Arabidopsis thaliana: one gene and its partners. The protein of the gene in region 1 interacts with the protein of each later gene in a pairwise test. Each region holds a gene or a part of one and is shown in the gene's direction. Other genes may lie near its edges.

Region 1 (10,291 bases):
TCATTCGTCTTCGTGCTTTCAATTACTAGAAACAAAAAAACAGAGAGATAATCAACAAGAAGATGGCCATTCGATCTTTACCTTCTTCCTCTCGCTGTTCCTCTTCTTCTTCTTCTTCTTCTTATTCACTCGCTTCAACGAGTCTAAGCAATAGACTTGAGACCATCTTCAAGAAAGCTTCAGAGCTTTGCACTCTCTGTGATATCGAAGCATGCGTCATCTATTACGGACCAGACGGAGAACTCAAGACATGGCCTCCGGAGCGAGAGAAAGTGGAAGACATCGCTCTCAGGTATAGTCAATTAAACGAAGCCTTGAGAAGGAAGAAAAGTGTTACTCTTTATGACTTCCTGAACAAGAAGAAGGACAAGACGAACTTGGAGAAGAAAGCAAAGATAACGGACAATGATGACTTGAAGACTTGTCTGAAGAACGTGAATATTTTAAAGTATCCACTCGCTGATCATTACTCTCCCGACCAAGTTTCTCAACTGATTCAGTCCTTAGAACCTCATGTCTCTAAAGTCCGAGAAAGGATTCGTTTTGTTGAGTCGCAGAAACACAAGGAGACAAAACCGGATCATCAGAGTTTAGCATCATCCTCTCTGAATCATCAGACCCAATCTTTGAACCCTAGCCAGTTTTCGCTGTTTATGTATAACCATGGAGACAATACTCTGTCTCAGATCCCAGTCTCTGCATCAAATTTCAATCAGGATTATTTCTCAGCGTTACTTGAACAATCTGAGTTGAAGAGTCAGATAATGAAGCAGGATCTTTGTGGTTATGAGCAGAACATGTGCATGAGTAACCATGGAGATGCTACGCTCTCTCAAATCCCACTCTCTGCATCAAATCTCAATCAAGATTTCTCAGCCTTACTACAAGACGAATCTGGCTTGATGCAACAGGAGCTTTGTGGTTATGATCAGAACATGTTTATGAACAACAACAACTTTCAACATTCTTTTGTCTCAAACACACAAGATCACTCTGCTCCTGTGGTACAAGAATCTGTGAACAACAACTATGGGTTGATGCCGCATGTTCCTTGTGGTTATGATCAGAACCTGTTCACGAGTGATATTACCAACAACAACCTTCTTATCAACAACTCGATGTTTCTCTGATAACAAAGCTCATGTCAAGAGAGTGTGAAACTGTTTTTTCATCTTCAAGAATTTTAATATGTTTGTTGTGGATGTTTTATTTTGCTAAGTATTGCATAACGCATAATGTTTTCTTGTATCAAGCTATATTTTACTATGTGAACGTCCAATTTATCAAGTGAATATATATTCCACCGCATCAAAAAGTTATCAATTATTTGGTATATAGCTTCGTGAAAATATCAAACCAAATCACTTATTTTAAGAAAAGCACAAAAAGGATTAAGGATAATAGAAGAACAGTGTCCTAACTTAAAGCTTCAGAGTCCATATTATCACTCCATATTTAGGGACACATATTTCAACTTTTTACACTCCACCATAGTTAGGTATGTGAGCCTAACAAAGTTCTCAATCCACAAAGGAACTTCCTCGATCCCTGTTTGGTTTAGACAGAGACATGAGATGTTGCTTGAGATATCTGGAAAACTCTTCAACTTTGAACATCCACTAAGATCAATTCAGATATTTGAAGTTAGCACCAGTGGGAAGAGACTCTACATTTTTCCTTTTCATCAATTCTAAAAGTCTTCACCTTTTACCAAAACTTCTGAACACTAAAAGGACAGAGGAGACTCTCAAAGTTTTATTGAGCTCTCATATCCTTAAACCGGAAAGAACCACATAATCTTCACTACTAATAGAATCAGGAGATAAAGGCCAAGAGGAGAGTGAAGGAGTCATCACAAGACAAACAATAAATAGCAGTCTGAATATAATTTAATTGTGAAGCTTGCAAACATTATTAGTGTCCAAAAAACAGCACTTGTTTTCATGTTTACTGAAATAGTAATGCTTATGTTGTTCCGTTTAAAGAACATGTGATGATCGCACAGAGAAGAGAGAATCACTGAAATAGTGTTGAAAAAAGAGAATGTTACATACCTATGATGAGAAAAGACAAAGACAAAGCGCACTGTGGAGGAATCAGAACTTAGCCTGCATTGTAAACCGCATGATCAAGACTAGTTACCGGTACACAGTGTTCCTGACTTCTTCAACGTTGTCCTTATCTGTCAACATTTCACATTTATGTTCATGTACTTGTTAAAAGACCCTAATAAGCTACCTACTTGATGTTGCTACTATAGAGTGAAGCAATTTGGTGTATACCTCCTGCATCAATCATGATACAATAGTGACATTGGAAACCTCTATGGAAAGAGAAAGTGCATGTGCTGCTAAATACTATCCAACTAACCATAAACAAGTTGGAGATAATTCAGCTTATTATAACATATAACTGGTGTTTCACTACGGAACACATGTGCTTAGTTCTACTTATACAACTAACACACACAGAATGCTTATGCAGCCCACATAGAGCTACTTCTTACCTCTCTCTCTTTCTCACTGTAAAATAAAAATGAAGGAATTAAAAATATAGAATAAACATAGTTTTAAACTAATTTGGAAATACATTTGTCTAACATTAAAATAATTTATACCAATAAGTTTATACTTAGTTACTTGCTAAATCAAATAAAGTGATGATTAGTGATTACATATGCCTATGATTACAAACAAGTGTAACTATGATTTATGCTTCGAACCCAATCATTTTGAGACGTTAGAAAGGGGTAATTTGGGGTCTTCAAACTTCCTTCTTGAATTTGTCTATTTTATACTCAAGTCCTCGGATGGGCTGTTCTGAAATCACTATAGTTGCATGTGTGCAATAACCCGGCCCATAAAAATTAATGCCAATTGTATTATTCCATTAGCCCATTAAGTCATCAATCATTACCACTAAATCTGCTATAAGATTAGCTTCTCTACCTCTAAAGTCTAACCAAAAAGAAAGTCGAAGATATCTTCATCGTTTGCATGTAATCTCCTTTACATGACCATGAAGTCCTTCTACCCATTATGTTTTGGGATTGCATTAATTAAGAACAGAATAGCACTCTCCCCAAAAGAATTCTTTGGAGCCGCAATTATTTAAGCAAAACATTGTCCGTGGATGATTCTTTACGAACGGGCCGTGATAGTTGTGCCAAGGAACATCTCTGTGGGAGAATTCAAAGCTAGTAGGATTCAAGCTCAAATGGACTTATTAAGCTAGGTAGAAATAATAGAAAGATTGAAATGAAATCGCTTATAAAAACTTTATTATGATGCAATTAATAGAAAAGAAAAAAGACTTTAACTTGTCAACAAGAATACAATGATTCAAAATTGATATTTTTATAAGGGGTTTGTGCAAAAAAAAATCATAATTAAGTCGCTAATTTTTTCAACTTTACCATTAATCTCTACAAAATACATAATAATCCTATAAAATACAAAATAAGACGCAATATAGCCCTATACATATATTGTAAATGTTTCTATGATCACATACATTTGCTTTTTAAAATTGTGAAAGTAGAGTTGGACTCCTCGTCTCGAAGATTTTAATTTGATATATTATTTATCAAAATTTTAAAAATTTAACTATAACAAAAAAATGAAGCTATATTGCATATTATTTTTGATTTCATACAATTATTTTGCATTTTTTTAGAGATAGATGATAAATTTGTAAAAATTGACGTCTTTGAAAGTTATTTTTGCACAAAATTCCTTTTATAAAGAAAAAGAAAAAAATTTGTTTTGAGACAACTCTTAAGATTACCTTACAATACATTGATATTTAAAAACAAATTTATATGAATCTCTAGTAGCTATCACCCTAGTTACATTGGCTAATGGATTTCTCATAATAGTTTTGGATCCTCTAATAATCTCTAGTTTTGGATCCTCTAATAATCTCTAGTATATGAAGGACGGAATTTCGATCATTGCTCTCAACTTGTTCATCAAAATCTAGCAAAATTGACATTTTCCGTCGAATATCACCCATATAAACTTAACCATAGTGGAAACCTAAAAATTCACCCCCAACTTTTACAAGAAAGTGATCTTTCTCATTCCTTCATTTGAAAGGTTTGACCTTAACGTTTTTGTTGTAGTCGAAGGAGTATCTTTCACAACATTGCTGATCTTAGAACAAATGTAACCCATTATTACCATAAGACTTATTTTTTCTTTTTCAGTTTTGACTTGTGCCTTTATGTTTAAGACACTAGTAGCCACATTTATTACGCTTTTTCACCGCAAAATTTAACACGCACTCTCTTTGTCGATCCCACAAACTCCATCTACCTAACCATGGTTAAAAATCATCAAACCTTGGTTCCCTTGATTAAAATATCCCTAAATCCAAGTCTCTTTATTATTTCATTTAAAATCATAAATTTAGTTTAATACAATTGTCCTTTTTCAAAATATTATTTCTTTATTTGCTTCAGCAACAGTCGTCATAGTCATCATATCATTTTCTTCTTTTCCTCCTCTAAACGAATATTACCAATAAAAAATCAAGTGGAAAATATGTAATATTAAAAAATCTCCAACAGCTTAAGAAGTTAGAACCTTTTTACTTATCTTTATTTCTTCTTCTTCTTCATTTTTCTATTCACATTCTCTGAAACTCATACCATATTTTCAAAGCTCTTAACCCAAAAACCCTAAGTCTTTTTTTTCTTCAAATTATTGGTTATATTAATGTTTTAAGCTATGATGGATATGACTCCTACAATAACAACAACAACAACACCAACTCCTAAATCACCCGAACCCGAATCCGAAACTCCGACCCGGATCCAACCGGCGAAACCCATTTCCTTTAGCAACGGCATCATCAAACGCCACCACCACCACCACCATCCTCTCCTCTTTACTTACAAAGAATGTCTCAAAAACCACGCGGCGGCTTTAGGTGGTCACGCTCTCGACGGTTGCGGCGAATTCATGCCGTCTCCGTCGTCAATCTCCTCCGATCCAACTTCTCTCAAATGTGCTGCTTGTGGCTGCCACCGTAATTTCCACCGCCGTGATCCAGATAACAACAACGACTCTTCCCAAATCCCTCCTCCTCCTTCCACCGCCGTAGAGTATCAACCTCACCACCGTCATCATCCACCACCACCACCACCTCCTCCACCACCACGTAGTCCTAACTCAGCTTCTCCTCCACCAATCTCTTCCTCTTACATGCTCTTATCTCTCTCCGGTACTAATAACAACAACAACAACTTAGCTTCTTTCTCCGATCTTAACTTCTCCGCCGGAAACAACCACCACCACCACCACCAACATACTCTTCACGGATCTCGTAAAAGATTCCGAACAAAATTCAGCCAGTTTCAGAAAGAGAAGATGCATGAATTCGCCGAACGTGTTGGTTGGAAGATGCAAAAACGTGACGAAGACGATGTTCGTGATTTTTGCCGGCAGATCGGAGTTGATAAAAGTGTTCTCAAAGTTTGGATGCATAACAACAAAAACACCTTTAACCGCCGTGATATCGCCGGAAACGAGATCCGGCAAATCGATAACGGCGGAGGAAACCACACTCCGATTCTCGCCGGCGAGATTAATAACCATAACAATGGACACCACGGTGTCGGAGGAGGAGGAGAGCTTCACCAGAGTGTTAGTAGCGGCGGTGGTGGCGGAGGATTTGATAGTGATAGCGGCGGAGCTAACGGTGGTAACGTTAACGGATCATCGTCGTCGTGAAGTTAAAGATGAGAGTGTCAGGTTAATAAGAAGCTTAGAGTAAGCTTATTCGTATTATCATCGTTAATAACTTTCTATTAAATATTAATTAAGATCTTTAGCTTTGTTTGTTTTTGCATTATTATTAGTTTTGATTTAATGTTCTTTACCACGTCGGTGTCTCGCTCGATGAGGAATAATACCATAACAATGTTCGAATTATATCATTTGTTGTAAACATTTCTATTAATGAACCCTGAAATGTGACTAAGTACTCCAATAAATGGTACACTTTTGATGTGGTAATCTTGTTTCGGATGAAGAAACAAAAAGATTAATAAACGAGTGAAACATGATTAGTTACTATAAATATTCATTTGGTTTCTTATCTTTTAAAGTACTCTTCTTAATTTTATTTGCAACCAAACTAGATGTAGTAGGTGTACTTTTTTTCTTTCTTAGATCCTCTTAATTTTATTTTATTTTTTTATTCTATATCAAATGATTAGCCATCATTAGTATATTAGTAGCATTGTTGTTAACACCCAGTGTTTTCACGTCCGACCCGGACCGTCCGGTCCGACCGGTTGAACCGTGACCCGAACACTTTTCCGGTTTGGGTTTAGTATTAAAATCCAACAAGTTCAAAACCGAAAAAACCCACAAAAACTCATCATTAACCCGTGACCCGATGAACCAGTTGAACTGGCCGGATGTGGGTTTTAAAAAATTCTCTTGATTTTGGAATAAAATATGAGATTTTAGACTTTATTCAATCAATTTTTAGATATTTTTCAGTTCTTAAACCCATTTGATGTTTAAGATTTTGATGAAGACTTCACAATGCCGCCTTAAAAAATGAATCGAATGGTGAGTGAGATATCCGATATTAGTTGTGTGAATTCACGATGTTTTATTAGTTTATTTCCATCATTGCTGATTTTTTACTATATTTGTTACGGTATTAGACATTTAGTTGGATTTAAAAAATTTCATCACTTTATTATTATTGTTTGATTATATATTTATATTTTTTTTTGATGTAAATGATTATTTTTGTTTTAAAATTTATAAGAACTCTAAAAACTCTAAAATCTCTATTAATATTAAATTTATTAAATAAATTTTAATCAATTGACCCGTAGTCTAATCTAATTAACCCGATGATCCAATGATCCAAAAGGTAGTCCGATTCACTGGGTTGGTTTTAAAAATATTGTTAACACCATTTCCTCTTTAATCTATGTCATTGTCATGGATTCATTCCGATAACCCATTTTTGGTATATATGCTTAGTTTTGATTATTCTCATTTGAGAAGTACAAACCAGCATATACCTTTTTATACTTAGAGATTGAATTAGTACAATTCATACTAAAGTTTGATATAACTATTATTATATCACATCGTAGCATCCATAAAATCTATACAACTTCTAAATAAGGGTTTAAGGCGTGGCACTAACACAAATGATTGAGTTGATGAATAATTTAACAATAACTTTCCATTTGGGGAAACGTAGGGATGAGTACTGATATGTCGGCTCTCACAATAAAGAATGAGATTAGGATATTATGGGTATCTCCCATACGGGTTTGTTACAATTATTTAAGCAATTCATTACTACTATTTCTTTATTTAATTTATATAACGCATTTAGTCAAGTCACAAATATCTTTCCGTATTATCTTGGTGGGGACAAAACTTTTGCACAAGCTGAGGTTATGGCCCTAACTGCCATATACCATGTGCACCACTTGTTAATTAATAGTATTATTTATTTTTGTATCAATTTAGCCATCAATTCACATTATCGCAAATAAAACAAAATTAGCCATAGTATAATTTCAACTTTTTTTCTTTCTAATTTATAAGAAAAATACATATATTTAGAACCGAAAATAAAAAATATGAGACTAAACAAGAAATTAAATAGAGAATTATATGTAACCTCAAAGTTAGAATGTATTATGTATAATATAATGAGTCTATCGGTAATTCCAGTATTTTGTAGGTACAAAATTGATCGGTAATTTCTTAATTTTTTTGGTTCAAAATAAATCCGCAATTTTTAGGAGGTAATTTATATTTTCTAGCTTTAAAATATAAAGACAATAAGTCTATCACCTTTTCAGTCGAAAATAGATTAGACATATATACTTTACTATCTTCCCAAAAAAAAAAAAAAAAAGAGTACATAACTATAGTCAGTTGTTTTATTGAAATAAGAAGTAATATTTTATTGAGTTACATTGTGAACTGCAAGAAAACAAATAATAAATGAATCATAAGTATATAATTATAATTTGCCCCCAAAAAGAGTACATAACTATAGTCAGTTGTTTTTTCAGCTGAAATTTGGTACAGTGACAAAAATAATTTCACCCAATCTTAGTGAAGCCATAGAAAAAAAGGTTTTACCATAAGTTTTTAAATTTTTCAAAGAAAGTACAGTTCCTTGTATATGATGGATCATATGTAGACTTGAAAGAAATGGCCCGCCATGTTTTGACATAAATGTCTATATTTCAAATTTAAATGTGATGGTAACCACTGTGATTATATAATGTTCCAATTTCATTTACAATTAGGTATGGATAAGTTTTTATTATTATTATTGAAAAGCAGAGCAACTAACATATATTATCATGTATATAGTAAGGTTGGGATTTACCTTTCTTGAGCACCTAACTTCGTTAATTTTCTCGGTCTTTCTTGTCTTGAGATTCCTTGCCAAATTTAGTTGACAATAGCCAACACTGAACAATAATGAGATCCTTAAATATTTTATTAATAAAGTATGACACCAACTAAAGAGAGTGACAATAAAGATTTATTTTGAGAGATTACTTAAAAAGAAGTGAAATTCTCTAACACCTTTTAACAAAAAAAAAGAAGAAGGTCTTAATTCAATAAAATTGTACCCAACTAAAACATTTTATCGCCATTTTCTTTTCACTGTTTCTTCTGGTTAAATTCTTTTACAGTGTTTCGGATGCAATCTTAATTCCATTTTTATTTAATTTAATTTACAATCTTAATTCTTATCACTGTTTAAAGACTTGGTAAGTTGATTTGTTTGAATAATTTAATTGGATAAATAGATCATATTAGATATTAGTAGATTGGTCCACACTATATGTGTCTATAAAAATAGGGTTCAAGACTATAACTAGAGTTTGAAATGCATAGTCCTAGGCATTGTCCCGAAAAATATTCATGGATAGAACAGGTCGAATAACCTACATCAACGAGAAACAATGTCTACTTATCTACAGATACCATAAATAAATTAACCAGAATATATATAATACTATAGAACTGGTTGTGCTAAAGAAAAAACCAGAGAAAGAAAGAATTTAAACACTAATTTGTAGATGAATAGATTGGTAATGAAGTTACTGTAATAGTTAAATTCGAGTTCAAAATAGTATGAAGGATAGAGACACGAGTAATATAACAATAGTCCAGTTTCTGATTGAAGTTCAGCACAAAACATAGGTTATGTCTTTGGATTTAAATATTTCTAAATTTAATATTGATATTTCCCCAACAGCCCCAGTTTCCTTGTTAGGTCCATTAAATAGTGTTGGTACACATCAATAGTAAGTGCTTCCCTACGTTTGAAAATTGATTTTGATTTTGGAAGAATTAAAAAATATTAAGGTAATTTTATAGATGTCCCATTTTGAATATAATTAAGGTAATTAATGTTAAGTAGCACGAATTATTTAATTAGTTTGAAAGATTTATGAGAATTGGTAATATCATATATTTATATGTAAATTTATCTTTGATAAAAAAAACCAAATTAAAATATTGAGATTCCAGGGTTTCTAACAAATTCTATAAGAAAGCATGTCGTTTGCGAGGAAATAACCATTCTTTCTCATATACATCACTATTTGTTTTTATTGTGGCATCAAAATTACGACGATGTAAAACCTAACAAGTTTACGTGGTATGTGCGACACATTTTTATTTTATCGGTAATTCTACGCTAATGCAACACCATTTAGTAACGATAACTATTCCTCGTAAAGTTTCTACACAAATGACGTGCTTTCTTGTATTAAAAACTAATTGGTAATAAATGAATTGGTATATATTATTATTGTTGAGAATTATTTCTTGATATCTCACATATTCTTTTTGTTTGCAATTTAATCACAGGAGCACACAAAACCTAAAAGATAAATGCACAAGAATTACAAGTTCCCTTTAATTTCAAACCACAAGTCAGAGGTACATCTTAATGAGAATTACTCTTTCACAAATAAAATCCACTAGCATATTATTCGAATACATTGTAACCAAAAAAATATAAAAAAATTATTCGATTACACAAGAAAATATGTCGAATGATCCCAAACAATAAAACCAAGATGTACTCACTCACTCTATGTAACATTTGATAATATTGGGCTCTAATGCCAAATAAAAAAATTACGAACTTTAAATCATTTAGTAGGAATTCTTGTATCTTTTTTTTCTTTGGGACAAATAGAAATTCTTGTATCGTAGTGTTGAATTTTCTCCACTTTTGATTTGAAATATTCTAGCAATATGCATTCCAC
Region 2 (11,006 bases), 4.7 Mb from region 1:
ACAAATTTATACTAGTTTGAGTTAAACTGAACATGTTAAAACTGTTATAAAAACACTTCGATGTGTAATTTGGATCAATGATTGATTATTGATTATTTTATTTTCTATTTAAAACACGACAAGAAAAAAGACAAAAAGAAAAAAAAAGGTTGAACATTTCCTAAAACCAAAAAAAAAAAAAACTGAACAGAACTAGAAAAACTAGATGGCCATCATGTTGTATTTCAGATTTTTATCTCTATTATGCAATTATTAAACAACACAACTGGTTAATTCCTTTTAGGCTTAGAGATCAGAAGCTCAGGGCATATAGCACTAAGCCAGAACAGGACACGAACCCACGACGGCTCTGCCACAAAGGTTTTGCCTCTGCAGATTCCGTTAACTACCGCTTTGGCGCATTCCGCTGCTGACTCGATGGTCACAACTTGCGACCAGTCTTGTTTCTGCAAAAGAGACTTCAGTCATAAAACTTGGACAGACTAAAATGAAAAATGATGATAGTAAAATACCTCAGCTAAAAGGTCCGGATTAGTATTTCCGTTTTCGATTAGACCAGGAAACACGATTGTCACACCAACTTCTGGATGAAGCTCGATCCTAAGAGTCTCGTAGAAGTTTATCATAGCTGCTTTGCTTGCCTGAAACAAATGTTACATTCATTATGTTAATATGTTACGCTTGGTTAATTTAGAGAACAAGAGAAAGAAAAAGAAGAAGAAGCATTTACAGCATATATGCTCATCCTTGGTACTCCAGACCATCCAGCAGGTGATGCAACCGCTATGATCTTTCCTTTTGTTTTCTTGAGATGCGGTATAGCGAAATGTGTCGCGTAAACCGGTCCCCAAAAGTTAGTGTTCTGCAAATTTTGCCAAGGTTCATATATTGTAAAAAAGACTTCACTATGTATTAAATCTAAAAATGTATACCACAATGGGAAGAACATCCGAAATTTCAGAATAGTCCTCGAAAAATTTGGCCTCCGCAATTCCAGCATTGTTCACCAAGTGATCCACTGATGTAAATTTTGTTATATTTTTTATGTTCTTTAAGCAAGTAGTAATATTAGTTATTCGAATAATAGTGACTAACTCACATCTTCCAAACCGAGAGATGGTTTCTTGAACAAAACGTTTACAGTCTTTGATGACTGAGACATCACCGCGTACCACAGCAACGTCTGGTGAACCAAGCTTCCTGCACCGGTCAGCCACCACCTGGAGACGATCCTCTCTCCGAGCTACTAGAGTCAAGTATGCTCCTCTACGAGCATACTCATACGCTAGGTGCTACACCATTAAATCAACTTCAAATTGCTTTTGTTTTTTACCAAATAACTAACCAATTTATAAAAAATAGACCAAGCTTTTCTAGGATTACAAACAAACTAACCTCGCCAATTCCTGAGGAAGATCCGGTGATGATGACGACTTTTCCGTTGACTTTCTCGGACTCTTTGCATCCCCTTATGAACTGGAGGAGCTTGAAGAATATTGAAAATGGCATGAACACTAAAAGAAACGAAACCGTGACAATAGGAAGAAGGATGTTAAAGATCTTGTTGTTTAAATCCATATCCTTGACTTTGTGATTCTGCTTCACCAGAGGCTAAGCTACAATTTATATACTCTTGAGCTTTCTTCTGTTCAGATGTCACTGTCATAGACTTTAGTATTTAAGATTAAGGATAAGAGAATCTCCAAATCATTATTTGGTATCTTTTGTGTTTGTCCTCATCCAACTTATGTTTTTATCAAATATTTTTCTCAACTTGTGGAGAAGTTTCCACTTTCATCTCTATTGGTTTGAAACCTCCCTCAACAACAAATAATGTCACTAAGCAATGAACCATAACAAAACTCACTATAGACTGTCAAATTTTGCTGTTTGTTATATTATAAAGATGCCACTCAAAGAGCCAGAAACCGAAATCGAAAATTTCCGGACAAAATAGAACACCTTCACATAGATAGGAGTGTGTAAATTGATGGATTAAAGTAAATAGTGGGTTACAGATTGTCTTTAGGAGCGAACCAAGTTAGTAGATACAAAAGACAAGGAGCCAAGTTCTAAGTACTCTAAAGTCTAATTTCCAATACAATCTTCAACAAGGAACTAATTACTAAGAGCAGCGTTTCACAGCACCTTTCATGTTTGGAAGTTAAAGCTTGTGGGATAGGTCCTCGATTACACCTTTCCCATCCTCTGCATCAAAGTAGAAGAAGTTCTTCAACGGCTCTCCTTTGCCTGATATAACTTTTATCACCTCCTGTACGTACAAATACAACTTTTTTGAGTCACATTACTCTGCTAAGTGCTTAATCTAGATAACTAACAAAGTCCTAGAGAAGCGAGATAGAGAACTGTACCTGTCCTAGAATCCCTCCAATGATGGCACAAGCCGGTGGGAATTCTGTGTTATTAGATACGAGTCTCTCCAAGAGGATATCTGGAATATGATTCTCGCTGACCGACTGTTGCAACATTCGGATTCAAAGTGAGTGACAAAGTTTGTTATTTGTCGTTATTATTGTAGAGCTTACAAATAAAGGTTAAAGAAACTTACATTTCCTTCACATAGTTCCTTTTTGAGTTTCAAAACTCTTGGGAGATCAGACAGCGAACATTCCCCAGGTTTACGTCCTTCAGTTTCCTCAAATAGTTCTATCACTGCAAGAATATCACAAAACCGGATTAGTTACGTAGGAAGAAACCAAGCTTTCAAAAGGTTAGCTGTTGTTGTTAGCCAGACCTCTCATTGCAAAGTAGAGCTTTGCTGTTCTCCTTGGCATCGGTTTCCACGGTACTGAAACTGCCTCCTGGAGAAATAAGACCAGTTAATAGATTGAATTTCTATTACTTTTCATGCGAAAGTATGTTCCAGGAAAGTAAGAAGTTAAGTTTGTTGTACCTCAAAACTTGGAAATGTTAGTTCACATTCCACTGTTTCATCAAGCTTTTTCTATGAAGCCAAAATTGACAATAGAGAAAGAAAGTTAACACATTATATGCCAAAAGAAAGGCATGTGATATACAACCGTCAAAAGAAAAAAACGAGATGAGTACCTTTGTGTACTTATAATTCTGAAGGTCGACAAATATTTCGCCACATGAGCCTCTACAATCAACTGTATAGAACGCTACATCTTTTGCTAGGTTCCTACACTTTTCATTAACTGCTTTCTGCATAACAAAGCACATTATTTCAAGTGATCAATCTACATGGCAACAAAAGACAAAAACAACTGGAACAACTAAAAGAAGGAGGTATCAACAGTACCTTAGTAGCACGAGAACTGTAGCCGATAACCACAACATCAAACTTCTCGAAAAAATCAACACCAAGTGTTGACAAATCACCTGAAATTGAAGACATAGACTCGATGTTACTAAAATCATTTGTTTCTACTAAAATTAGAGAGAAATGAAGAAAGGAGGAGTAACCTTTCTCTATTGAAACATGAACCATAGGGTTAAAATCCTTAAGTGAATCACAACAAATCTCAGCTACGGTTTTGCCTACATAAGCATTTTCATCAGGAAGAATCAAGAAGTTTGCGTTGAAGACTTCCGTTGTAACCAATCGATCATCCAACAGAGTCACACTACCTACTCCTGCCAACACAATGTTCTTACAAAACTGCAACACCAAATGGAGGAAACCAAGTAAGATGCCAACACTCACTCTACTGCAACATAGCTAATAGAGAGTCACAAAATAAAGTAAGAGGTACCTCAGCAACAGTGCCCTTAATTCCAGATACCAAAACATGAGATTTACTCAATCTGCAAGCAAAAACACAAAACAAAATTCAGAGAAGCCCTAATCAAAATTTCAACAGCTAAATTAGCTTAAAACCCAGAAAGAGATAAACTTTCACCGAGTATAGCCCAACAAGAAGAGTTTATTAGTACTCAAACGGAAAATCAATAACTTGTTGTTGCTTGAAGCCATAGAAGTTAGATTCAATGTGAAGTACCTTCTTTGAGCACCAGCTCCCCATACCCTAATTTGACGGTCATAAAGAGCAGTTTCCTGCTCGGTGAGCTCATCTCCGTCCATTCTCGTAGTGAAACCCTAGAACCGACCTCGAAGAGATGATCAAACCCGTCACGAATCTACTACAAGAGGTTTTCGGTGACTCACTCACTGAGTTTGAGATTTTTTGTTAACCGGAAAATTGCTTTCTTTTTATTTATTCAAATTACATGGTTTGTTTTGGTTTGGTCCGGTTCGTCAACTACAAATTTTTAAATTCAAAACAACTGTGCATTCAATAAATAACCAATTTGTTATTTTTTAGGACAATTTATGGGCCGAAACAAATGAAACATGGGCTTTGGACCCCAAATCTTTTAAATCCATCTGCAAAACTTTTAAAGACATGGAAGACTTTTATACGATTCTCCCTGATAATTGACAACTTGTGTGACCCGTAACTATGAAAGTCAAAGAAAATAACGCGTATCGGTGGAAAGAGAGAAGAAAAAAAACAGAAGAAGATGTTGTGTAATGCGAAGCACAACATTCACATGCTATGTTTTTTGCCGTAAACAACTAAGCATCCTATACCTCTTTCTTTAGTATCACTTTCCAATTTATTGTTTCATTTTCATCATCATCATAGTTATAAAAAAGAAAAAACCACATCTATTTTATATCACAATTTGAAAACTAATATATTTTGGATAAGGGTCAGTAAAAAGATACAAGATTTATGAGTAATTTGAAATTTTCAAAAGTATACTCTGTTCATTCATAAAAATCGGATGCTCAGAGTTCAGAATTGATGAATGGCAGAGAAAAATATAAACAAAGAAAAGTTGAAAAAGTAAGCAAAAGAACAATCAACAACAGCTGTCACTTTCCTCCATTCTTTTCTTCACTTTTTCTTACTCAAAGTTTTTAAAAAATGATATCAATAAAACCCTAAATCAGGAAAGTAAAGTTACAATTAAAGTAAGTAAATCATTTCTTAACTTAGTAATAGCTATTATCATCAATTTCTCTCTCTCTTTCCTCTTTCTCTTATTTGCATTATTGAAGTAGCAGCCACACTTGTTGTCTCCACTTTCTCTTGCTAAACTCCATCATCTTCTCTTTCTTTTTTTTCACTTGTCCCATTTTTTTATATTTTCATCTTTCTCTTTTGGAGTTTCTTCTTCTACTGACTCTACTGGTAGGTGTATGGATTTGGTAAGATTTCTCAACCTTCAAACAACAAACTTTTCTTATTCTATAGTTTTTTTTAATGTAATAACATGTTTATAATCTTACTTTAATCTTTCATTTTTATTGCATTTTTTTAATTCTTGCTTGGAATTGAGTAGACAGAAAAAAAGTTTTTTGTTTTTTTTTTTGTTTTCCTTTCTTCCCATTTTGTGGGATCTGTTCTAGTTTCTATGTTTCTGCACTTCTCATTTCGTTTTTTCAGTACAATTAGTTTGCCTTTTTTGGGATTTTTTTTTTGTTTTTTTTTCAATATCAAAATAGATCATTTTGTTAGAGCTTCAACTACAATTTCAGAGTACTCTTTATAATTGTGTTTTTGCTTTTTGCTTATGCTTTTTTATTTTCCTTCATATGTATTGAAGTTGAAGTTTAATTGAGTTAAAGATTCATGGGTTTTATGTTTACTAGTTGTTTTTGCTGTTTGTTCTTAAATTTAGAGTACCAATATCAAAAAGGACAAATCTTGATATTGCTTTGATTGCTGTTGTGTATGTATGTGTTTTTATAGTGAGAGAAGAAAAAAAAGCACAATCTTTGAATGGACTGGAATTTCAAACTTAGCTCTGGTTATTTATCTGGATTCGATCAAGAACCAGATTTATCACCAATGGATGGTTCGATCTCGTTTGGTGGGTCGTCACAGTCAAAAGCGGATTTTTCATTTGATCTAAAACTTGGAAGAAACATTGGAAACTCTTCCTCTGTTTTTGGTGATACAGAGCAAGTGATTAGTCTTAGTAAGTGGAAAGATAGTGCTTTAGCTAAACCAGAAGGTTCAAGAAGCTCGAGTTCAAAGAGAACAAGAGGGAATGGTGTTGGAACCAACCAGATGCCGATTTGTCTTGTTGATGGATGTGATTCTGATTTTAGTAATTGTAGAGAGTATCATAAGAGACATAAAGTTTGTGATGTTCATTCAAAAACTCCTGTGGTTACTATTAATGGTCATAAACAGAGGTTTTGTCAACAATGCAGCAGGTAAGATTGTGTGTTAATGGTTTAAGCTTCTTGTTGGGTTGGTGAAGATGTTAACATTTGTGTCTAATTAGGTTTCATGCTTTGGAGGAGTTTGATGAAGGGAAGAGAAGTTGTAGGAAACGTCTTGATGGACATAATCGAAGACGACGGAAGCCGCAGCCTGAACATATCGGTCGTCCTGCCAACTTCTTTACGGGTTTTCAAGGTTTCTGTTTTAAGAAAAGTTAGTTAGTTTCTTGAATCCAATAGACCGTTCCTTGTTGATGAAGAAGCATTGTTTTATGTTTTCAGGTAGCAAATTGCTAGAGTTTTCTGGTGGTTCACATGTGTTTCCAACTACATCTGTGTTGAACCCGAGCTGGGGAAATAGTCTTGTAAGCGTTGCTGTAGCCGCCAATGGTTCGAGTTATGGGCAGAGCCAGAGCTATGTTGTTGGTTCTTCTCCTGCAAAGACAGGGATAATGTTTCCAATCTCTTCTTCTCCAAACAGTACCAGAAGCATAGCAAAACAATTCCCTTTCTTGCAAGAAGAAGAAAGCTCGAGAACCGCATCGTTGTGTGAGAGAATGACGAGTTGCATCCATGACTCTGATTGTGCTCTCTCTCTTCTGTCATCCTCCTCGTCGTCAGTCCCTCATTTGCTTCAACCACCACTTTCTTTGTCCCAAGAAGCAGTTGAGACAGTTTTTTACGGGTCGGGATTGTTTGAGAATGCGAGTGCAGTCTCTGATGGATCGGTTATATCCGGTAACGAGGCTGTCCGTCTTCCGCAGACATTCCCGTTTCATTGGGAGTAGTAGAAGAAGAAGTAGGTAGATAGATAGAATCAGAAAGATCTATTTGTGTCTCTTCTCTTCTCCCTCATTTTTCAATGTTCTTTATCATCATCATTGTTCTTGTTAACACTACAAGAAATATGGACATTCTTAACACACCGAAAACGCTATAATAACGTTTACATAGCGGATTCATAAACGCTGTGTTTGCCGGAGCTATCTTAGAGTGGTCACATACAATAGCGTTTCTTGCTATGCTATTAAATGTTCACATATTATGGCGTAAAAGAAATGCTTTGATTTCCTTTGTTATTGCACAATTTTGATGTTATACTTTTGTAACTCTTTTTAAGGGCTATAAACTATTATTTTGTAGCTATATTTTATAGGCTATGATCTGATATGTTGTAGCTTTATTTTTTTGGCTATAAATCTATAAACAGCCTATAAGTTTGGGACATTTTGTTACACATTTGCAAGAAACCTCTTTTTGATCAAATTCAATATATATAAAATCTCCATACAAGTCTCAATCCAAGTCTTAACTAACATTACAATAACAAATGCCACAAGTAAAATGATATCACATCTTCTTTCTAACCTTGACTCGCTTCTCCAATTCTTCTCATAATCTTGTACAGTCTTCTTCTTCTCTCCAATCAAACTTCAAACTCGAATAGTGTAAAAATGAGTACTTGAGCAGATCTTACATGAAACTTAGAATTAACATCACTATCTCTTCTCTGAGCTTAAACACTTGATAAACCTCTTCCTAACCAAACTGCTAATCCAAACGCATCCTCAGCTGTAAGAAAACAAATAAACCGAAATCAAAATGTTAATGGCAATCATCCATTAATTTTGTCCTTTTTGTTACAAACGTTATTAGGTTCTGAAGTTACAAGACTTATAAAATCTGCAAAAATATCTAAGCAAAATTTAGTATTTTAACCATAAAAAGAAAACAAAGAACATGTGGAGCAAGTGAAAAACTCTCATATGTCAATGATTCTCGTGAATTACTAGAGTTAAGGATTACAGAATCAAAGAAAAGCCAAAGCACTTATTTAATAATTTAGAAAACGAAACAGAATATGGACTCTATAGACCAAATCATTGAGTTCTGTTCTAGATGCATTGAGCACTAAAACCCTCCTATGCAACTTTAATATGAGAGAAAAAAGACAACAAACTGTACCTGAAAAAACTGAAATATTGTAACAGTTACTTAAAATGCTAATAAATTACCTTGTTGAGATGAGCCATCTTGTAGGATTGGAGGTGCTGTGATTTGAGCTGCTGGTGTCAATGGCACGATATCTTCCTTGTTGAGTTCCATGTTTCCCTTATATCCCCTGGAACAAAGAAAAATTTCAAATCAGTTCTCTTGTCCTAGTATAAACAAACTATTACCAAATAAGAATGAGAAAACCTTACAACAACAATGAGAAAACCAGATTGAAAACCTCAAAACTATAGAAAAGACGTTTGTCATTCAAACTAATAACCTAATGAAAGTTACAAATACCACATTTGAATTCTAGAAAATCAAGCTTGTAAACGGAAACTTCATGGTTAAAGATAGATGGAGATTGAGAGGCATATATGATGAATTACCATGGCTGCAAATATCTCTTGGATATTATATTTAAAATAAACAGACAACACGAGCCTTGATACATAATTCCTGCAACATGTTCTTCTGCGTAATCTCGTCTGCCTATAACAAAACATACACAAGAAGCTCAACCAAATATACACAAAACGATTTTATAGATAAGTGTGTAAATTTGTCTACTTTTGAAACTTAACAACATCGATAGGATTGGCTATGACCGCAATACAAAAAAAAAAAGAAGTGTCGTTAGCAGACTAAGCGGTTTCTCCGGATCTCAAATCCTAATTTGGAATCGATTTCAATTTCGAATCTAATTTTCCCAAATAAACGAGAATGTAATAGGTTAGGCGTTGAATGAGATGTGAAGCAAAAACAATTAGGAGTAATGGAACCTCAGACTGGCGATTGCAACTTTAGGGAGAGACAAAATATGTAGATCTAGGGTTTTGAATAGACGGTATTACTGTGGAGGTCTCGATTTGGTTTTGTAGATATATGTAGGTTGAGTTCTGACCATGATGAAACCTTGGAGATGTCAGAACAAAAGCTTGGGTAAGAACATCTTTGGAGAGGACGATGAGAAGAAGGGGGATCCTCAAAGTTTGCGCTGGTCATCGACGAAGACAAGAGGAAATTCTGGATTTTTTATTTTGCTGTCTATTTGGAGATGGAGGAACGGAGGGATTTAGGTTTTTCTTTTGTGAGAGAATGAGACAAAATATTTTGTTCTTCATTGAAAAAAGAAAACACAAAGCCGTATCTTTAATAATTTGGTGGCTAAGTGTAATATTTTTGGGTAAATGTTGGTGCTTATAATAATTTTAGGTTTTTCAATTAAACTTTATTTGTCCGGTTAGTCATGTTAGCGTTTAGCATTTCGTAACTGCTATTATATAGTGTCTTTATCCAACATTTTATTTTTAATAGCAGTTACAAAAATTGAGCTATTAAAATGTGCTATCAATATCCATATTTCTTGTAGTGTAAATGTTGAATTGTGGGTTTTTATTGACATTTGATTAGTTGATGTGTAGGTTCTGTTGGTCTTGTAGTACCCAATTAGCAACAAGTTAACAGTTTAGAGAGTAGATAACTATTTATGTACACATCTTATTGCAACTATAGAATCTTAGGAGAACCACTCTTATCCTTTTGGCTAAAACATATGTTAATGAAAATGAAATGGCTGCGGAGATGTTTCGAGCTATTCATTATATAGTTGTCTATGTTTGTTGGGATGTCTATTTTGGTTAAACTTTTTATAACATTTGTAACATTAATATACTCCAACATACTAATAACGTAACAAAAATGTATAACTAGTCAACTATCCATTTTGTCATTACTAATTCGAAACAAGTTTCTTACGCATCGCAAGTTTGATATCATTATAACGTAAAAGTAACAAAACATTAGCATAATAATTAGGTGAACACGGGAAACATGGTATAACTGATAATATAGAAAAGGTAAAAGCATAGATAGGAAGAAAAAGTTTTTGTAAGTAAAGATTACATAGAATTAAGTGCCCGGAAAGTGGATGACGACGGTGAAGACAGTGACAAGGCCAAAGTAAAGGAAGGCGTGGAGAAGGATTGAGTATCCGCTCGTTTCCATCTTCCCGAAGTCTACAAAGTTGTTGTTTCCCGGAACCTGAAACAACAATCCCGGGCTCAGCACCACAAACAACACCGTCGCGACCACCACCGGAAGCCACTCCGTCATTTTCCTAGTCTTCTTTTTTTATACCAACGAATAGAGAGAGAGAAGTTATCTTAAGAAAAGAGAGGAGAGATAGTTAAGTTATATTACTTGCGTTGATGATATTGAAACCCTTGTGATATGGTTGGTGAAATGGCTTAATACATGGTGTTACACGTCAGAAGTGTCGTGGTCAAACTGTGGTTGATGTCTTTGGTCAATGTCCCGAGAGATTCGTTAGACGATGGTTGGGTGGTCTCTCTCATTTTCTAATCACTTAATGTCTTAATCATTGGGTCTCGTTGACTAAAAGAAGTTCAAACTTTCATTGTGGTAATACTAAAAGATAGAAACGAGAATATGAATATATGATGTAAACTAATAAAAGCATGAAAGTTTCTGTGAAGAATCTCTACGACCTACTCAAAACACAAAGTCTAAGAAAACTTAACGAGGGTATAAATCTGTATGTTGGTTTCTTCAAGCCATTCCATGTATTGTCGTGTGGATTTACTTAGAGGCTTTCTTTACGTATGTCTAATGTATGATCCCCATTGCCACCATCAAATAATACAAAACCACGTATACCAACACAAACAACAATGCCGCCACCCACAGATATACTCGACCTGCAATTTCATCGTAGAAAAACCAGAGTATTAGGTTATGGAGACCCTGTTCTTGAAATGGAAAGATA
Region 3 (10,267 bases), 1.6 Mb from region 1:
AAATCTCGTCAAGTTTTGATCAAGAAACAGCTGCGTCAGTTATGGCGCGGCTTGCAATTAACCGAGCAGAGGAGTGTCACGCTAGAGACGTTATTACGTGGTTAGATAACGGTTTAATCCGGTTTGCTTCACGGTTTGGAGATTATATTCAAGAAGATCCATCTTCTTTCAGGTTGACTCCAAACTTCTCCCTTTATCCTCAGTTCATGTTCTATCTACGAAGATCACAGTTTCTTGACGTCTTCAACAATTCCCCGGATGAAACCGGTTTCTTCCGGTTAATGTTAAACCGGGAAGGAGTGGTAAACTCAATCATCATGATTCAACCAACGCTTCTCCGGTATTCATTCGACGGACCACCGGTTCCAGTCCTCCTCGATATCCGGTCAGTGACTCCAGACGTAATTTTGCTATTTGATTCATACTTCTACGTGGTTATCCACCATGGATCAAAAATCGCCCAATGGAGGAAACTTGAGTATCATAAAGATCCATCCCACGAGACTTTCCGGAACCTTCTGGAAGCACCGGAAATCGATGCAGCGCAGTTAGTAACTGATCGGATTCCAATGCCACGGATTGTACGGTGTGACCAGCACGGTAGTCAAGCTCGGTTTCTTCTTGCCAAGCTCAATCCTTCAGTAACTCAGAAAACAGATCATACCGGTGGTTCAGATATTGTTCTCACTGATGATATGAGTCTTCAAGATTTCCTAGAAGATTTGCAATCTCTGGCAGTGAAAGGCTAGGAAATGTGGCAGCAAACCTGTAAAATTGGTTTGGATTTTAATCGGTACAGGTAATGGTTTTGACTAATTGGGTTATACAAACAATTAATATTGGTATTTAGTCATTATCTACACCTTATATTGTCAGGTTTTCTGAATCTTATAGATTGATATGGAAATTCTAAATGTATGATTTGGTTTGGACCTGATTTGTTATACAGAAAGGTTTTGATCTTTGTGAACACTACTGTAATTGTCCAATGGGATAAAAGAAAGTTTCCAAACTCAGGCAAAACCCGTTGATACGTGAACTATAAGTGAAAGCATTAGGAAACTATACACACCTATGAGACTGAGACATCTCCTTATACAATTCTTGTAACTTTTATATTCACTTTTCTGAAATTGTTTTAGCGCAAACCAGCCACAAAAATACAGTAATTCTCCATCATGTTCTTGGTTGCTAGTAACCGGGAAATATTGAAAGGGATCTTAACCGGAAAGTACCGAAATTTTTTAAGTAACCGATTCGAAGCATTTTTGCTTTTTTGGGCCGTTATAATGGGCCGATAATCCACAACGCCATATCGCGTGTTCGAAAACGCGCCGATAACAGAAAAAGCCAATAAATTCTCGGTGGGAAATAAATTGGTGAAATTTAACGGAAACCCCAAATTCCAGAATCCCCAAATCGAGAGGTTAAAGAAACTTCGATTTTGATCTTTCGAAGTGATCGGCAAGAGGTGACGGTGGACGGTGACAGAACTGTCGGAGGTAGAGATCATCAACCACCGGTGACTACTACTGCAGCGGCGACAACAAAGATGGCTATCCCGAGGCTGAGTCTTCTTCCTAACAACGAGCACAATTCTGATAACTACGAAGATCTGGAACTTGAATTTAGCTCTTCCGTATTAAGATCCCTAGAGAGGTACTTACCGCCGGAAATACTCACGGCGAATAGAGAAGAGAAGGCCAAATTCATGTCAGACATTTTGCACAAGTACATTTCCCGCGAAGAATGTGCCAAAGTAATTGCTCTTTCTTTTTGATCTCAATCTCTAAAATTGAAATCGGTAATAAGAAATTACGATAGTGATCTTTAGGTTTATCTTGTGATGATGAACAATTAGAGAGATCGATGTGAACAGAAGTTTCTGATGATTTATTCACAAAAGCTATTACATGATTATATAGCTACAGGAGCGTATCTAGTTTCCTAAAGAGATACAATTAGAATCAATTACGTTTAATGTACATTATGATGATTGATATGAGATCATATCTCATTAGATGAACACATAGAATCAATCCCACAATTTCTCAGAATAGTTTCATGTCTGTTTAATGTTCCAGGCTATACGGTTCAAGAACTATAGGGAGTGGATAATGTCCAATTATCAGGTGAGGAGACTTTAGCTCGTCACTTAGATTGTTTTCTTGATGCAAATAGTTTTGAAATGTTTCCTTTTTCTGCAGCCACGTTTCAGGGAGTTGTATAAACTTGATCCCGAATCGTTATTGCTTCCGTGTTTCCGCAAGGCGGTCAGAGAAAACACCGAGGAAAGCTTCAGACGTATAATGTTTGAACCGTTTCCTGGTGTTTACGTCTTTAAAATGTTTCAGCCTGACTTCTTTCAGAAATTGCTTGTTGAGGTAATAGTAACAAACACATCATCTTGCCACTTATTCTCTGCCCTGCTCTTACCTCTTTGTTTGATTAATCAGGTAGAGAATATGAGAAAGTGGCTTCATGAGGCAAAATTGATGATCAGGAAACCAAACAATAAGAGTAAATATGGTGTTGTGCTTGACGACTTTGGCATGGATATCATGCTTAAGCCACTCGTGGAGGATTTTATCTTTCCTATTTGCAAAGGCAAGGCGTATATATTACTTAAAAATGCATTAGAAAGACTTTTAAAAAGTAACATTAAACTTCACTATGTTGTTTTGCAGTATTCTTCCCTCAAGTGTGTGGAACAATGTTTGACACTCAACATGGATTCGTTATTGAAAATTGTGAAGATAGGGATGCTGAATTAGGTGAGTCCCTTTTGATTTTCTGATATTACTTGAGAAAACCAGAGTGAATTCTTTAATCTGGTGCAGTGATCTTTTAAATCTGCAGGCTTTCATGTGGAAAATTCAGACATTACATTGAATGTTTGTTTGAGTAAACAAAGTGAGGGAGGGGAAATATTATTCACAGGCACACGATGCAATAAACATTTGAAAGCAGGTCCAAAGCCAGAGGTATGTGAGTCCTCTTACGTTCCTATATTCAGTAAATGGCAAAATGGTTAGCTAATAAAGGAACCAATTATTTCTCACTGAAACAGGAAATTTTTGAGTACTGTCATGAACCGGGTCAAGCTATACTTCACCTTGGCTGCCACAGCCATGGTGCAAAAGCCGCCATAACATCTTGTAGTCGGGCCAATATGATTCTTTGGTGCATAAAGTAAGCAATCATGAAGCTTGCCTCAGGATTTCAGATCACAACTAAAACACCTTTTCTTCTGCATTTCCATTTGCAGCTCTTTGTTCAGAGAGATGCAAACTTATGACAACGAATTCCGAGACTGGTGCGGTCAATGCGCCCGTGAAAAGAAAGAAAAGAAAAGCCAGAGTCTTGCTTCCAAAAGAAAGGTTAAGAAAAGAAAAAAGGACATGATTTTGCTCAAGTTTATAAGATGTTTTGTTTGAGCATGGTTATGAACCTGTGGGGGTCCTTATTGCAGGAGATGATTAGGATAATAGAGTGAAGCCGAAGCCCGCTGAAAAAAATGAAGTCTATGCTTTGAATTTTGACTCTTTACTTGGAAAATAACACTGAGTATATGTAGAATCATTTGATGTAAATAGGTCTTTGTGTCTTCGAATTTCTTACATTACTACTATGTACATGAAAGTTACCAGTTACATGTTTAGGATCGGCTATATGTTTACAGTTTACTCGCCGTATCGAAGCAGTGTTCAGTGTCAGCTGAAAAAGAGTACATATAGCCGGTCCATTCGGTTAGACTCATGAAAACCGGTTTAGTAATCATATGTTTACAGTGTCAGCTTTTTTTTTGAAATGTATGATTTGGTTAACCGGTTTTAAAATTGTGAACCAATTCAATTGTGCAATTCCGAACACTAGCGATTCGAAGTAGAGAAAGTAACATTGTACCAAGCTAAACCAACGGCGATGAATGCTAGAACCGCGATGTGATGTGTGATTAAAGAGAAGGTTAGGAGGAAGTAGAGGATGATAAATTGATTCGGAAATGTGTGAGGTTTTGTGTGACGCGTGTGGTGGCGTCGGCGATGGACTAGCGGCGCTGGTGATTGGTTGTGCGGTTTCTTTAACGCCGGAGATTACTTGATTCGCCACCATTGTTGCTCTGGATTCTAGAAACTTCTGAAAATCCTAAATTCGTTGGGAAAAGAGGAGAAAGTCAAACTGATTCATGAGAAGTTAAGAAAGCCCAAGCCCATTAAATTGAGTATCACTTAATTCGTTATTTATACTAAAAAAGATCGTTTTCTAGAATCGAAGTTGGTAGTGTAAAAGAAAAAGAAGTTGAAGAAGCAAGAATTTTCCATCGAAGTGGTCAATTATCCGAGTGTAGTAAAGATAAAATCTCTTATCAGAAAATAAAATAATCGAAGTTGGTCAATATTTTTAGTCAAGTCATTCACACGAGGAAATTTCCCACCCAAGAGTTAGGATACGTGGAAAGAAAATCTCAATGACTAATGTGTTACAATAATTAGACGAAGAATAAACTAATGCCACACACACACACGCACAAATTCCACTTGTGATGACTGATGAACTTAATTATTATTATTAAACCCTAAGGTTTGATAAAACGGTATAGGGCCGGCTCTTTTCTTTTCTCCACGGTGTTGTGTTTTTTGAACTCACAAAGGAGATTTTGTACTTTAACTTCAAAAAGAAAATTGGTTAATTTGAAAACAAACAAACAAATAGTTATAGCTTTTACGCGTCACGTAATGTCTAAATTTTGTTGCCAAGACACGTCACTTGACTTTCTCTAGAGTTCACCTTTGATACATCATTTGACTGTCTCTGGTTTTCTCCTATATACGTCACTTCATCTAACCAAGAAGCTGAGAAAACTATTCATTGACCACGTTCTCAATATGTTTCACGTGTGTTAAATCAACAAAACCACACGTGATTAAATCATAATAGGTATATAGACACACCACACAAAAGACAACATCAAAAATCACACAAATCAAGATTGTCAAACACACTAAGAGAGAAAGATGGATAACTTTTTTCTAGGTTTGAGTTGTCAAGAAGAAAACAACTTCTGGGATCTAATCGTGGCCGACATCTCGGGTGATAGAAGCGTCAGTGTACCTATCAGAAGCGCCTTTAGGTCATATATGAAGGACACGGAACTGAGGATGATGTCGCCGAAGATATCTTCTTCGAAGGTGAACGTGAAGAAGAGAATGGTCAATCTTCTGAGAAAGAATTGGGAGGAGAAGAAAAATACGGTGGCTCCAGAGAAGGAAAGAAGCCGGCGACATATGTTGAAAGAAAGGACGAGAAGAGAGAAACAAAAACAGAGTTACTTAGCTCTCCATTCTCTACTACCATTTGCCACTAAGGTACCTTGATTATTTGTGTAATATTAAACTTGAAACGAACTTTATTTTTCTTAATGACTTGGAAAGAAAATCATAGTAGTTCTAACAAAAATCCGAATTTTTACAGTTCAAAATGGCACACAAAATTAGATATTCGGTAGAAATGGATTAGATTCATGGATACTAAATTTTCAGAATTTCGACTACTATGTCTGTTCACTGATCTTTGATGTTTGTATGCTTAATTACATGCATTGATCTGGTTTTAGAAGCTTATCTTAAATATCTATAAATTTATATTGAGTAAGGTATAATATAAAGTTTTGAGTATGATAAATTTCCAACTACAATCATTTGTATAAAATGTTTGTAAGTTTTTGCACTGGAATCTTTTCTTTTATCACTATTTTCTTTTACTTAAGGATTTTGATATAGAAACAAGTTTAAAGAACATCATAGATTGATATCGAAACAAGTTTCAAGACCATCATTTCTCCTTATATTCTCATTTTATTTCAGAATGACAAAAATTCGATTGTCGAAAAAGCCGTGGATGAGATTGCGAAATTACAAAGATTAAAGAAAGAACTAGTGAGAAGAATTAAAGTGATTGAGGAAAAATCAGCAAAGGATGGTCATGATGAAATGAGTGAAACAAAGGTTAGGGTTAATCTAAAAGAACCTTTGTCTGGACTAGATTCAATGCTTGAAGCGCTTCATTATCTTAAATCAATGGGAACAAAACTGAAAACAGTCCATGCCAATTTCTCTCCTCAAGAGTTTTCTGCGACCATGACCATCGAGACTCAGGTACATATTTAATTCGATTCGAATTGGTTGAATCCGGTTTTGGTTTCTCTTTGGTTATGACAACTTGACAAGTACATAAAGGTAATAATAGGTAGGTTGTTTTGTGTTAGTAGCAAAAAAAAAGTAGATGGTTGTATGTTTTTTTAATTAAGTAGTTAGATCTGTATTAGTGTGATGATATTAAATTTAAAGTTAACTTTTTGGCAGATTAGAGGAGAGGAGGTTGAAAAGAGAGTGGAAAGAAGACTCCAGGAAACTGAATGGAAACTTCTCTTTCTCCCAGAAGCTTCCTTTTACAAAGACTACTAATTCTGTTGACTTTCTGTCATTAATTTTCTTTTGTATTTAAATTTGTATATAGTTAAATACTTAAATTAACTGGTCATTGCTTTATTGACACACATAAAGAAAAATAATGGGGCACACTACTTTTGAGTTTTGAGTTTTGAGGTTTGAAAAATAAAACTAAGAAAATAATATTGATAGAATATAATAGAAAATTTATCAAGTATATAACCATATATAGTGCCAAAATTTGCAAATTGTGTGATAGATAATTTGGTAAATATGTAATGCATTTTATCAATAAAAAATACCATAAAATTTGATTAAAACCAGCATAAAAACCTATCCCAATTAAAGTTTATTTTGAAAAATAGAAATTGGAAAGTTCAATACTTTGGCTATTATTATTTATTATTCAATACTATTTACTACGTACACTCTATAGTAAGAGTTTTTAAACATACAATGTTATTCTTCAACTTAATACGTTGCTGGAACAAGTAAACAACTCAAAACATTAAATAACTAGGAACATAGGGATTAATATATTTGTGCGTTACAATCTTAATAATTGTGAACTAGTACTATCTTATTAGCAAATACACTTGTTCACCATGTGGTTCATTATTTAATTACTTATGAAATCGCCAAAAAAGACCATAGATTTGTCATAGGAAATACAAAAATGGATAATAAACTTTCACCTACCGAGTCAAAACAAGAAGGAACTAAACAAGAAAACAGCTCCTTCAACCAAAACTTTTTGCATATTTATCAAATATTTGAAAACTTTAAATTTGGTAAAATGAATGAGGAGCAAAATAAGATAATTTAACACAGTACTCAAATCTAAACCCTCCTGGTGGAGTTAAACAGAAAGTCATCAAAATAATTATCGAAATTAAGACTTAAAAATGAGATCAAAGTCATCTAAGAAGATAGATATGGAGATAAGTAGCTTCTTCACTTGAGAGGGATAAACCTGGAGGAATTGGTAGCACCAACACCAGGCCTACCGTGCTTTACCGGTTTGTATGAGATTGAGAACTCAGCCAAGTAATGTCCAATCATCTCCGGCTTGATCTCGACTTGGTTAAAAGTCTTTCCGTTGTACACACCAATGATGCTTCCAATCATTTCAGGCACAATGATCATGTTCCTCAAGTGTGTTCTCACTGATGCTGGCTTCTCACCAGCTGGTGCCTCCATTTTCTGCTCAAAGACACAAAAATCATTGACTCTTTAGTATTTTAAAACCATTTGGTTGCAGAGAAACAGCACATTATTCTATATATGGATACATAATAAGGACAATAGCACAAAAGTGGGGTATAGATTATCTGAGTTATAAAAAAAATGACATTATGTATAGTCGCACTCAAGACATTCTAAGACATAATCTTTATTGTTTAAAGCCATTTGGTCACAAAAATCGAACGCAAAGTTGCATAGGGAAGAATGCATATTTGCATAGAGAATGAAATACCAAAGTAACATTATCGAAAACCGGGTATAGATTATCTGAATTAGTCACACAAGACTAATGCATAGAATATAAAAACATGCTGATAATCTTTTAACTAAGAGGGATAACACGATTCTATTAGCCATAAAATAAACCATCAAAATCGCTCAACTTAATGAGACATATAAACATACAAGATACACAATTCCTAGATTTGGACAATTGAATATGTTGTTCAACAAACGTAACATTTAATTAGTGATGTGAGAAATTTTGATTTTACCGCTTTGCGCAATTTCTTAATCAAAGCCATAGGTTTTCTGGTCAATCCTCTAGAAAACCTTTAAAGACAACAAAACACATCATCAGTCTCACAAAACCAATTAGACAAAAGCTTTTGTTTGGTTCAAAGAAAGAAGGTAACCTTCTGCGAATACGGGAACTGAAATGTTTGACAAGATCTTCGATGGACATGTCGAGAAGCGCATCGAGATCGACTCCTCTGAAAGAAAACTTTTTGAAGGTTCTCTTTTTCACAATTCCAGCCGCAACAACCTCTGGTTCCATATCCACAAAGATTGGAACTGACCATTGTTGGATCGATGAAACCCTAAAAAATCCACAAAGCCTCAAAATAAAACAATGTATGCGCAAAAGACAAACAACTTAACTTAAGCACCAAATAAATAGGTAGCGCATCCTGTAACCCTAAAAATATTTTCTTTATGTTCTCTTTATTTTTTAATATATTTGGGCCCATATATTTGGAAAATAAGGCCAAGAGAAAATAAACATATTAAATAAAAAAAATAGCTAGATAACCCAACAATGTATCATTTTCCAGAATTTATTAAGTCTAATTCTCAAAAGTTTGAAGGTCGATTTGATGAATTTTTAATTACTGCAAAGTTCAGGCTAATACAACTATGAACTATCCAAGCAAATAATTAAGTGGTAGTGAATAGTGATCTAGTGTACTTATCTAGCTCTACAAAATATTCATGATTTTTGATAAATTATGATCGGTATTTCAATAGGCTTACCTCATCTACTTTACTTCATGTCAAGGCAACACTGACAAGCATTACAAGACAAACTCCTATAGCACCAAACCATCATACTTTGTCTCAGCTTGCACTAAAATTTCTAAAGCGATTGCTCATGTGAGTGAACCAATTTTCAATTTGGTGACACTTTAAAAACAATATTGTGCAAGCTGTATGCCAAACAACAATGACCATTGCACACTAAATCCAAAATATGTTTTGATATAAAACACCAAACATAAATATGATGTCAAAACAGATTAGTTCATTTAGGACAAATATCAACTTCTATCAAACATACCTCATGAAAAATGAGCAAGACACCACAATATCTCTCTTGATATCAATGTACTTTGTTCTTCCATGATACTTTGATCCTTCACACATAGACTATACAAGCTTAACAATCACAATAAATAGTCATCGAGACATAAAGATCCGAATAAAACTCGCAAATCTAAATAGATTGGACATCCAGTTTTAGATTGTTGTATGGTTTGAGACATTCGATGCCCTCTGAACTAAGAAATTTACACTCTCCTTTTCAACCGAAAAAATACACGGGTAATCGTAAAACCTATAACTTAAAAACATTTATCTACTTGAACAAATGTCCTAAAAGCCTAACATTTTTCTCTGCTGAATTTTCCGACTAAGTTCCTCCGCCGACGGGATGCCGTCGTAGCCGCTTGTTCTGGCACTTTTCCCCGCGCTCTGCCACCAGGCCTTTAACTCCTCCTGCTCAGATAAATTAATGCAAAATATTCAGATGAAAACTTAGCAAATTAGCAAATTTCAAAACTTTTGACATAATTGGTCAAATTTTATTATATACCTCAAGAAAGTCTTGGTTTGAGATAAACTGAGACTCAACAAGGCAAGTCACACCTTTAACCTTAACTGAAATTAAGCTTTTCTCTGAATGTCTCCTTGAGCTTTGTCCCTCTGTGTCCCCTGGTTAAAACAAACATATTTCAGTTGCAAATATTCGAGAAATACGCGAGTTTGAGTATTGATTTATATGAAAGTGTACCAACCATCTATGCGAGCTACATAATACCCTGTTCCTCCAAGCCCTTCTTCCCATTTCCCGAGCCTTAACCGCAAGAAGAACCCTTCGAGACCCGATACAGACTTCTTGGTGTTTATCCATCTGAAATGAAATGTCAAAAGATGTTAAAGCCTCATAATGTGACAAGGGAAACAGTCTTTTAGGTGTGAATTAGATCTTACTTGAGAACGTCTGTGCGGCTCAGGCGAAGCACTTGAACAGCATCAAAGACCGCCCTTGGTACGTCTGTGAAACCACTTATGGG

Evidence for each region.
Region 2: the proteins of HB23 (region 1) and SPL13B interact in a two-hybrid assay, tested with the Arabidopsis thaliana proteins (one large-scale study listed by BioGRID).
Region 3: the proteins of HB23 (region 1) and BHLH92 interact in a two-hybrid assay, tested with the Arabidopsis thaliana proteins (one large-scale study listed by BioGRID).

The regions. Positions count from the first base shown.
Region 1 is NC_003076.8:15,906,813-15,917,103, forward strand, and holds HB23 (homeobox protein 23), read left to right. Parts: upstream 1-4,537; 5' UTR 4,538-4,730; coding exon 4,731-5,735; 3' UTR 5,736-6,048; downstream 6,049-10,291. Other genes in the region: AGL81 (AGAMOUS-like 81), read left to right, coding at 63-1,130. UniProt on the Arabidopsis thaliana protein: Putative transcription factor. Probably involved in establishing polarity during leaf development through the gibberellic acid (GA) signaling pathway.
Region 2 is NC_003076.8:20,611,902-20,622,907, reverse strand, and holds SPL13B (Squamosa promoter-binding protein-like (SBP domain) transcription factor family protein), read left to right. Parts: upstream 1-4,844; 5' UTR 4,845-5,200; intron 5,201-5,369; exon of another isoform or gene 5,370-5,744; 5' UTR 5,745-5,774; coding exon 5,775-6,214; intron 6,215-6,285; coding exon 6,286-6,419; intron 6,420-6,505; coding exon 6,506-7,011; 3' UTR 7,012-7,204; downstream 7,205-11,006. Other genes in the region: HSD7 (hydroxysteroid dehydrogenase 7), read right to left, coding at 270-446, 513-641, 731-862, 933-1,018, 1,100-1,292, 1,396-1,578; SAE1B (SUMO activating enzyme 1B), read right to left, coding at 2,165-2,272, 2,373-2,477, 2,570-2,673, 2,756-2,822, 2,915-2,965, 3,070-3,186, 3,284-3,363, 3,448-3,643 and 2 more; AT5G50665 (uncharacterized protein), read right to left, coding at 7,740-7,795, 8,239-8,345, 8,608-8,710, 9,073-9,223; AT5G50660 (transmembrane protein, putative (DUF 3339)), read right to left, coding at 10,130-10,333; AT5G50650 (Transducin/WD40 repeat-like superfamily protein), read right to left, coding at 10,847-10,938. UniProt on the Arabidopsis thaliana protein: Trans-acting factor that binds specifically to the consensus nucleotide sequence 5'-TNCGTACAA-3'.
Region 3 is NC_003076.8:17,529,507-17,539,773, reverse strand, and holds BHLH92 (basic helix-loop-helix (bHLH) DNA-binding superfamily protein), read left to right. Parts: upstream 1-4,977; 5' UTR 4,978-5,015; coding exon 5,016-5,366; intron 5,367-5,864; coding exon 5,865-6,155; coding exon of another isoform or gene 6,156-6,167; exon of another isoform or gene 6,168-6,362; coding exon 6,363-6,464; 3' UTR 6,465-6,644; downstream 6,645-10,267. Other genes in the region: AT5G43670 (Sec23/Sec24 protein transport family protein), read left to right, coding at 1-749; AT5G43660 (2-oxoglutarate (2OG) and Fe(II)-dependent oxygenase superfamily protein), read left to right, coding at 1,179-1,231, 1,459-1,759, 2,085-2,132, 2,208-2,384, 2,457-2,607, 2,688-2,774, 2,860-2,984, 3,071-3,192 and 1 more; AT5G43640 (Ribosomal protein S19 family protein), read right to left, coding at 7,404-7,652, 8,189-8,246, 8,330-8,472; TZP (zinc knuckle (CCHC-type) family protein), read right to left, coding at 9,567-9,689, 9,787-9,905, 9,989-10,104, 10,185-10,267.